Linked DNA regions of Schizosaccharomyces pombe. The gene in region 2 interacts genetically with the main gene of each other region. Each region holds a gene or a part of one and is shown on either strand. Other genes may lie near its edges. The genes, in order: fus1 and exg3.

The links.
Region 1: of exg3 (region 2) and fus1, changing one enhances a phenotype caused by changing the other (phenotypic enhancement), as found in Schizosaccharomyces pombe (one study listed by BioGRID).

Annotation. Positions count from the first base shown.
Region 1 is NC_003424.3:4,816,028-4,819,956, reverse strand, and holds the start of fus1 (formin Fus1), read left to right. Parts: upstream 1-2,170; 5' UTR 2,171-2,613; coding exon 2,614-3,929. Other genes in the region: eIF2 alpha kinase Hri1, read left to right, coding at 1-1,698. UniProt on the Schizosaccharomyces pombe protein: Required for cell fusion. It associates with the pre-zygotic projection tips in conjugating cells.
Region 2 is NC_003423.3:2,972,891-2,976,819, reverse strand, and holds exg3 (cell wall glucan 1,3-beta-glucosidase Exg3), read right to left. Parts: upstream 2,009-3,929; 5' UTR 1,993-2,008; coding exon 1,305-1,992; exon of another isoform or gene 1,255-1,304; coding exon 548-1,254; 3' UTR 216-547; downstream 1-215. Other genes in the region: aly2 (arrestin Aly1-like protein), read right to left, coding at 2,648-3,929.

The DNA.
Region 1 (3,929 bases), on a different chromosome or scaffold from region 2:
GCTTCCTTCTTGAGCGTATTGAGTGATGGTGGATACGAAGACGATGTGATGAATGTCAAGCCTTCAGTAAACGTATTGTCTAATAGGTTAAATCATTTACCAGTTGAAGCATTGGAATCTTGCTTTCCACAAACCACTTTGGAGTCCTCCACGTTTGCTGATTTTTGTGAGCACAAAGATGGAACCGGTAACTTGTCTTTTAGCAACTTTGATAGCTTTCCCACAGTCCAAAGGTCAAGATATGCAAGTGATTTTGAAGAACTTGAGTTACTTGGTAAAGGCGGTTATGGTTCAGTGTATAAAGCTCGAAATAAATTCGATGGAGTTGAATATGCTTTAAAAAAAATTCCACTTCGGTTACGTTCTTTCTCCACTTCTTCTAACATATTCCGTGAATCTAGGACCTTGGCAAGATTAAACCATCCCAATGTGATAAGATTCTTTTCTAGTTGGGTCGAGCTCTTACCGTCATCTGAAAAGCAAATCGAAGAAGAACCTTTAGCTTCGGCAGATGAGACATTATCTCAATCAGCAGATATAGATAATTTTATGTTTGATATGGATACTGGGTTACTTCAGCATACTTATCCTTCATCAGTTCAGATACTATTCCAAGAGGACTCGGTTGCAGATGATTTAACTCCTTGTTACTCTACCAAAAATTCGACTTGCAACTTGACTGATCTTTTCAAGAAAGAGGCCGATCAGGATTATGCCGAGTCACATGATTGTTCTTCAACAACATCACAAGTCGACACATTAGGAAAGTTGGCGCCAACGAAGTCAGCTTCTGAAATGTTACTTATGGATTCATTTCTATCCGAAAGAGAGGAAGATGAATGTTCCAATATTCCCAGCTTTGATCAACAGCCCTTATGTTTGTACATACAAATGGCTCTTTGCGAAGAAACACTCGAGAAACACATAAACAGACGAAATAAGCATATTCACGGTGTAATGTCTAAAGGCCTACGTAACTGTTATATTTTACTGTTTGCAAGGATTTTAGAGGGCGTTTTGTATCTTCACGATGCTATGCATTTAGTCCATCGTGATTTGAAACCTCGAAATATTTTTCTATCTAGTGGTGTACATTCTGAGCCTTGCTCTGTGTGTCTACCTAATTTTTCTGATGAAGATAATGTTGAGGTTAGCAATGCGTACGAACCAGTGAACCAAAGAACTTTATGTGTTGTGCCCAAGATAGGCGATTTCGGTCTTGTTCTTTCTCAGTCAGATAATTTGGAAGAGGGGACCAACTCCTCAGCTGAATCTTCTTTTGTCGGTACAAGTACGTATGCAGCTCCTGAACTTTTCTCAAAACACATGCGATCGGTAATGAATAACAACTCGTCTACTGACATATATGCATTGGGCATACTCTTTTTTGAATTACTGTATCCTTTTAACACGCGCATGGAAAGGGCATCAGCTATCGCCAATTTAAAAAAGGGCATTTTCCCCCATGATTTCTTGGATTCCATGCCAGAGGAAGCTAGCTTAATCCGGTCAATGCTCAGCTCTTCGAATAAGCGCCCAACTGCTGCTCAACTTTTGACTAGCAATCTATTTCATGATTTGGTAGTCAATGAGCTTCATGTATATCAAGCTTTATTGGAAGATGCTGAGAAACGAAATAACAATTTGAAAGCAGAACTAAACATACTTCGAGTTTTAAACCCCAATTACGACTGTTAGTATTAGTTACGAACTACTTTGGACTGCTTCAATTGTTTTTACAATTCGCTTTTGACAAGATTTAGTTGTTTATGTTATTTTATGTTTATATTTCCTACGTTTTATGTTTATCCACTGTTATGATTTGTTTATAGTGAGTTATCTTCCATGCTCTTGGAATGGTTTTTGGAGCTTTTAGGTGCGAAAGAGTAGTCTGCATTAAAGATTTTTCTTATTTTAATATATTAAATTGAAAGTTCATCTTGTACATTTTTTCGTTGCTAGTTTTCAGTTCAACAGTCTGATTGATTTTTTTAAGTTTTCTTGATCTTGATCTTGTACTCAAAATGTTTATCCTTTTTAATCAAACTGTCTTTCATTTATGGAAAACAAATATCAATCAAGCTATAAATTAAACAGCAGAAGCGATTGTTTAATTTTAGCGTGATAGTAAACTAGCACTTCATTAGGCGCCTTATTCTAAAGACACAGTATGTACGCCACCCTCTCAATGTCTTTTAAAAAACATTTATTAATAAATATAAACTAGAATGGACACTAAACTTATTTCCAGCATTATTCAGTTAATTCTGATATGGACTACTTTCAAGTTGTCGCTTTCCAATTACGTTTGTGTTTGAGCTTGAACTTATCGGAAAACTAAATAGTTTTCGAACACAGTTAGTATTTCTTTGTTCTTTAACGGGTACAATAAAATGGATCGTTGCATATGTAATTGTTGCTTTGAATCATATTACGTCGGTTAAACCGAACAAAGAAAGTTATGTTCTAAATACTCAGTAATTTTCTAGTAAGTCTTTTACCTTACTTCTTATATCTGAACTCAAAAAGGATTGTTTACGAGCAAAAAACCTTGTTTCTGTAATTATAGGACATATTATTGATGGTTTCACCTTTTTTAGCTATTGCTTGTTAATGATGACGGCTAGTTTTAAAGGTATCAGAATCTCTAAACCAATTGTTAAAGAAATTTCATCGTTTGGGTCTCTAACAAACATTGATTTACACACTGACCCATATGAAAAAGTCGAAGCAAAAGCATTATCGCGAAGCAGATTAAAAAACCAAAGCGTAAAGAAAACAGACCTTCGTATTACAAATGATTACTCTTCACTATTTGTGAGTATTGAAAACAAAAAAAACACTATTCCGGATATTCATTGCAACAATTTATCAAAAAGACCTGTTGGATTTACCGATTCATATGTACCAGGCGAAGCGCTTCTATGTCCGGATGACCCGAATTTAGTGAATGAATTATTCGATGATGTTTTAAAAAGATTACGCGAAGAAAAATCTGATTCTGGTGAGCAGTTTCATTGGGACGCGAACGTTACACTCTCTCAAGAAAACAAATGGTCTTTCATCACTGGCTATTTATCGAGAAACGATAAATTTTTAAAAATATCATCAAACGATTCTGAACTAAATGTCAAGGCATCCGTCATTTCCTATATTGAAAAGTTAAGCTGTACACCGTTGAAGCTCAAGTACGTGGAATCTTTGGCGGTTGCATTGAGAACCGAATCAGTTACCTGGGTTCGATATTTTCTTTTGATGGGTGGACACATAGTACTTGCTAAAATATTGCAGGCAATTCATGAGAAGAAACATCTAAAAAGTCCTGACATAACTTTAGAAATTGCAATCCTCAAAAGCATGAGGTGTATTATAGGACAGAAGATTGGGACTGATTTCTATCTGAGTAATAAGTATCCTATCGATTCAGTTGTTCACTGCCTCCTGTCAACTAAATTACTAGTAAGGAAACTAGCTGCCGAATTACTTACTTTTCTTTGTTACTCAGAAAAGCCGAACGGAATCAACGCAATTATGAAATGTATGAAAAACTTTGCAAATTTGAAAGTCGAGTCTATGAACGTCTTTGATTTATGGCTTTCTCAATGGAAAAGAACACTCTTAGAGAAAGTTGTTACTGAAGAAAAGAAAGTACTAGAAGAAGCGGCCTTACATGATAAAATAACTATTGAGTATATCATTTCACAAATGCTTCTTATAAATGCATTTCTTGAAAATATCCCATCTAAAACTGCTTTACTCCAGTTCAAGGAATCCTTGAGAATAGGGAATTTCAAAAGCATTTTACTCATTCTAAAAAAAATAAATGATGAAGGAGTATTAAAACAACTCGAGAAATGCGTGAAACTCGTATCATTAGACACTGCTAATGAGAAACATTTTTTAAAGCACACTCCAAATTCTGCTGCTCA
Region 2 (3,929 bases):
GCTTTGATAACGTCAATAAATACTACTCCTTGATGTTTAAATAAGATAAAAAAGGATTAATAGCAATATACGAATTTTACTGTACTACTTCCAGCTCGAGGTAGTACATGTATATATAGTTCAAGAGTGCGGTAAAAAGCGAGTGTGGGTAAAATACGTACGCACTACTACGTATCCTTTCTTTGTTTTACTATGCTAAGATTGCGTATTGTAAACAAAGGATGTAAACAAAGAAAAATGCTTGGATTCTTTATTTAAACGTTCTATTATTTCATTTCTCTATTAAAAAATTCAATAGTAAGTCGTTAATATTAATCCTTTAATTATCTTTTAGAGAATTTTATAAAAGAAAATCAACAGAATTTTTAATCTACCAAAATTAAACATATGTAACAAGGATGTGAATACAACAAGCAAAATTTAACGACAAAAAGTGGGTAAGGGAATAGAGATTAGCAGGAGGGTTACCAAACACATTAAATTTTTGTGCGGATAAACAAAAGCATAAACATAGAGTATAAAGGTCATTAAGACAGACATTATGGAATTATGGGTGACGAAAAGGATTGAGAAAGCCCATACGCTCGAGATGCAACCAGGCCGCATTCATACCGTCACGATATTCCCAAGCAGAAGCAGAAGAAATACTTGTCATCCTTTTTTGAGTCCATGCACGAGGAAATCCGATCATGGCCCCATGCTGAAGAAACTCAATGTAGTCCTCCCAGGCTTGATTCCATCCTTTAACATATAAATCATGTTCATATGGATGATCATGTTGTTTCTGATCCCAATAATAGCAATGTCCACCAAAGTTTTGATCCCGACTTTGTTCAAGTAAGGCCGGCATGGCTTTGTTTTCGGTAGGGGGAGGAGGAGGGTAATTGATTACCTTGTCCTCTACAACAGATCTAAAATCCCAATCTCCACCTTTTCCGTGAAGGAATTTATAAGTCCAAAAGAAGCATCCTCCGCAATAATTCAAATACTGGTTCAGTTGAGCTTCACCAAAGTCACGTCTTCTTTTATCGTGGAGCTTTGTTTGGCTCCATGATTCTTGGCTTAAAGTACAACTCCATTCGCCAATAACTATATTGGAAAGTTTGGTTTTACCGTATTCTTCACCAGTATCAAGTCTTCTGGTTATAAGCTTTGGGGGTGCATGGCATAATTCGCCGCCAAAACAGAAATAGCTATGATGATCAACCACATAGAATCCTTCAGATTCATGATCATTCACCCAATTCACCCAATCTGTATCCTGTTAGCATTGAAAATGATATGACTATATGGAATTGACATACGATCTTTATCCCATCCATCACCAATATAGACAGGAAGATAGGAAGGAACAACAGAGCGAGCTTTTTGATAGAAATTAGCAAGAACATCATATTGGCCCCAGATCGGTTCATTAATTACTTGAATACCAATAACATTTTCAAACTGACCAATCTTCGACGATAAAAATTTAACGGCTTCCACTGTTCTGTCTTGATATTCTTGCTTTTCATAAAATTCTGCCTTTCCAGACGATGTACCGGAATGTCCGTCACAATTTCCTCCTCCATACACCCCATGGAAGTCTAAAAGCACACCGATCGAAAGGCTTCCTGCTTCTTGAATTTTCTCACACAAGATGTGTAGGCTATTACGATATACTTCAGCATAAGGCTCAAATGGCGTTCCTTTAACCAATTCATCATTTCCTAATGACCAATATCCAAGAGGTATTCGTACACTATTAACTAAGTGCTGTTTCATATAAGAAAAATCTTCAATACCAATCCAACTTTTCCAATGCGCCTCAAAATTCTCTCTAGCTTTGTCTATTCCATGAGCCTTAACATTACCACTTACTGCTTCAAGTTCACTGCTACCTTCACCAGTAAACAAGAAATCATTAATCCATCTTTCGGCGCAAAACCAAGCACCAAGATTAACACCGTACTGCTTCCTGTATATGTATAAATCTTGTTTATTCAATCCCATCGTAATACGCTGTTCTAAAATTATGCAAGTAAGAAGAAGGTGGAAGCAGTAGTAAATAATTCGGTAACCACGTCATCTGCAGCTTCCGCCTATATAACAAAACAAGTTCCTTCGAGTCCCTTACAAAAAGTGCATGCTAAACACTTACATACGGATACATATAACCAGCAATACACTAACTATGCGCTATTATACATTTTCAATAATCAGAATTATACAAAAGTAAACAAAAAACGCTGCTTAGCTAAGTTATTATAAATGCACTCCGGTAAGAGTAGTATGAGAAATAGTAGAACTCAAAAGCTATATAGCCATTTCATTCAAAATGAAGCGCAAATCAAAAATAAAACATAAGTAAAACATAAGTAATTTCATCACAAATGCCATATTAGCGGGCTATTTTGATGATAAAAACTTGGAAATTTTTTAGTGAAAACCCAAGGCGATGATATATCTGTAAAGTTGGTACCCGATAATAAATAAATGGAATCCACAAAATATGATACCGAAACATTAAAAAATTTTTGTAAACCAAAGGCTGGCCAACCCGCACGTCTAGTTGTAAAAGCTATAGCGCTTTCGAACAGAAAATACAAAAATATCAATCTCCCCGTTAAGGGAAATCGCTTGACAATAACCGTTAACAAGCATTAGATTACCTAGGGATTTCAAAGCTTCGACTAACAGTTCGAGACAACGACCGATGAGGAGCCTCTTCTCGAATGGTACCACTCCGTCGAACACGATTGTTCAAGATAGTGTCATCGTTAGCACGATCAGTTTCGCAATCCTGAATGCTGATTGAACTCAAAACGTCAAACAACTCATCATAATTAGGAGGAGGTGTGTTACAAGCAGGGGGACAAACATCCCCATCAAAAGGAGGTGGATTTGTAGACGGAATACGGAACAACTGAGCTGGTCGCGAAATTTGGGCTGCAGCTGGTCTACCAGCAGAAGGCGCCGAACTAGCTAAAACCGATTGTGTGGTAAAAGCTGTTACTTCAGTTGGCTCGACATGAGTCGTAGCTAGTCTACATGGACACGGAAGCAAAACTTGATTGTCGCCTTGGCTTGATGATTCGTAAGGCGGAAGCAGTGTCGAATCTTTCACACAACGACATGACAAAATTCGAACAGGAGTCTCAATATTTATTTCAAAATATTTTCGCTTTTCCGGATTTTCCGTGTTTTCAATAGACAAGACTAACAATGCCTTCAGTCTGTGTCGAACTTTGATATACTTGTAAGTAGTGTCAAAGGTAAGACGATCACGCTCCTTAACCAAACACGTAGGTAAAGCAACGTTGAAGTTGAAAACAGCGCTAGAAAGACCATCTCCTTCATCAGGCGTTTCAAACAGGTTATCCGTGTTTTGATGTTTGGCAGAGCGTTCCGCAAGAAGCACACGACGTTTGGGATCAACACGATGAAATTTGCGGCTTCGGCACCAGTATTCACTTGATTCAACGACAGAAATGGATAACTTATATAAGCGAACCTTGTCGAGTAGTAAAAATCTAAAGGTAATAGGAACTACCTCACCTAAGCGAAACGACTTGCCAGAAACCTGTAATTCATAGTGAAGACGTTCATCCCAATCACGTGAGATATTAATAAGCTCAGAGGAAGAAAGACTAGCGGGAGATGGTGTGCGGACGAGTTGGACAGGGGTACGGCCATTAAGATTACTTTTAAATGTGCCAAATCTTTCTACTGTAGCTTCCAGAAAATATCGTACCCAACCCATTTTTGCTTCTACCGATTCGGGAAAACAATTGGGTATAGCTAAATCAAAATTATAAGTATATTCACCTGGAGCAAAAACACTATAACCCCTAAGACTGGCGGCAGCAGACGAAGGAAGAGGTAATTGCTCACCAACTAGACGTGCTACATCGGCACCGTGTTGAGGAGCGTCAGCGTCTTTCATAGTT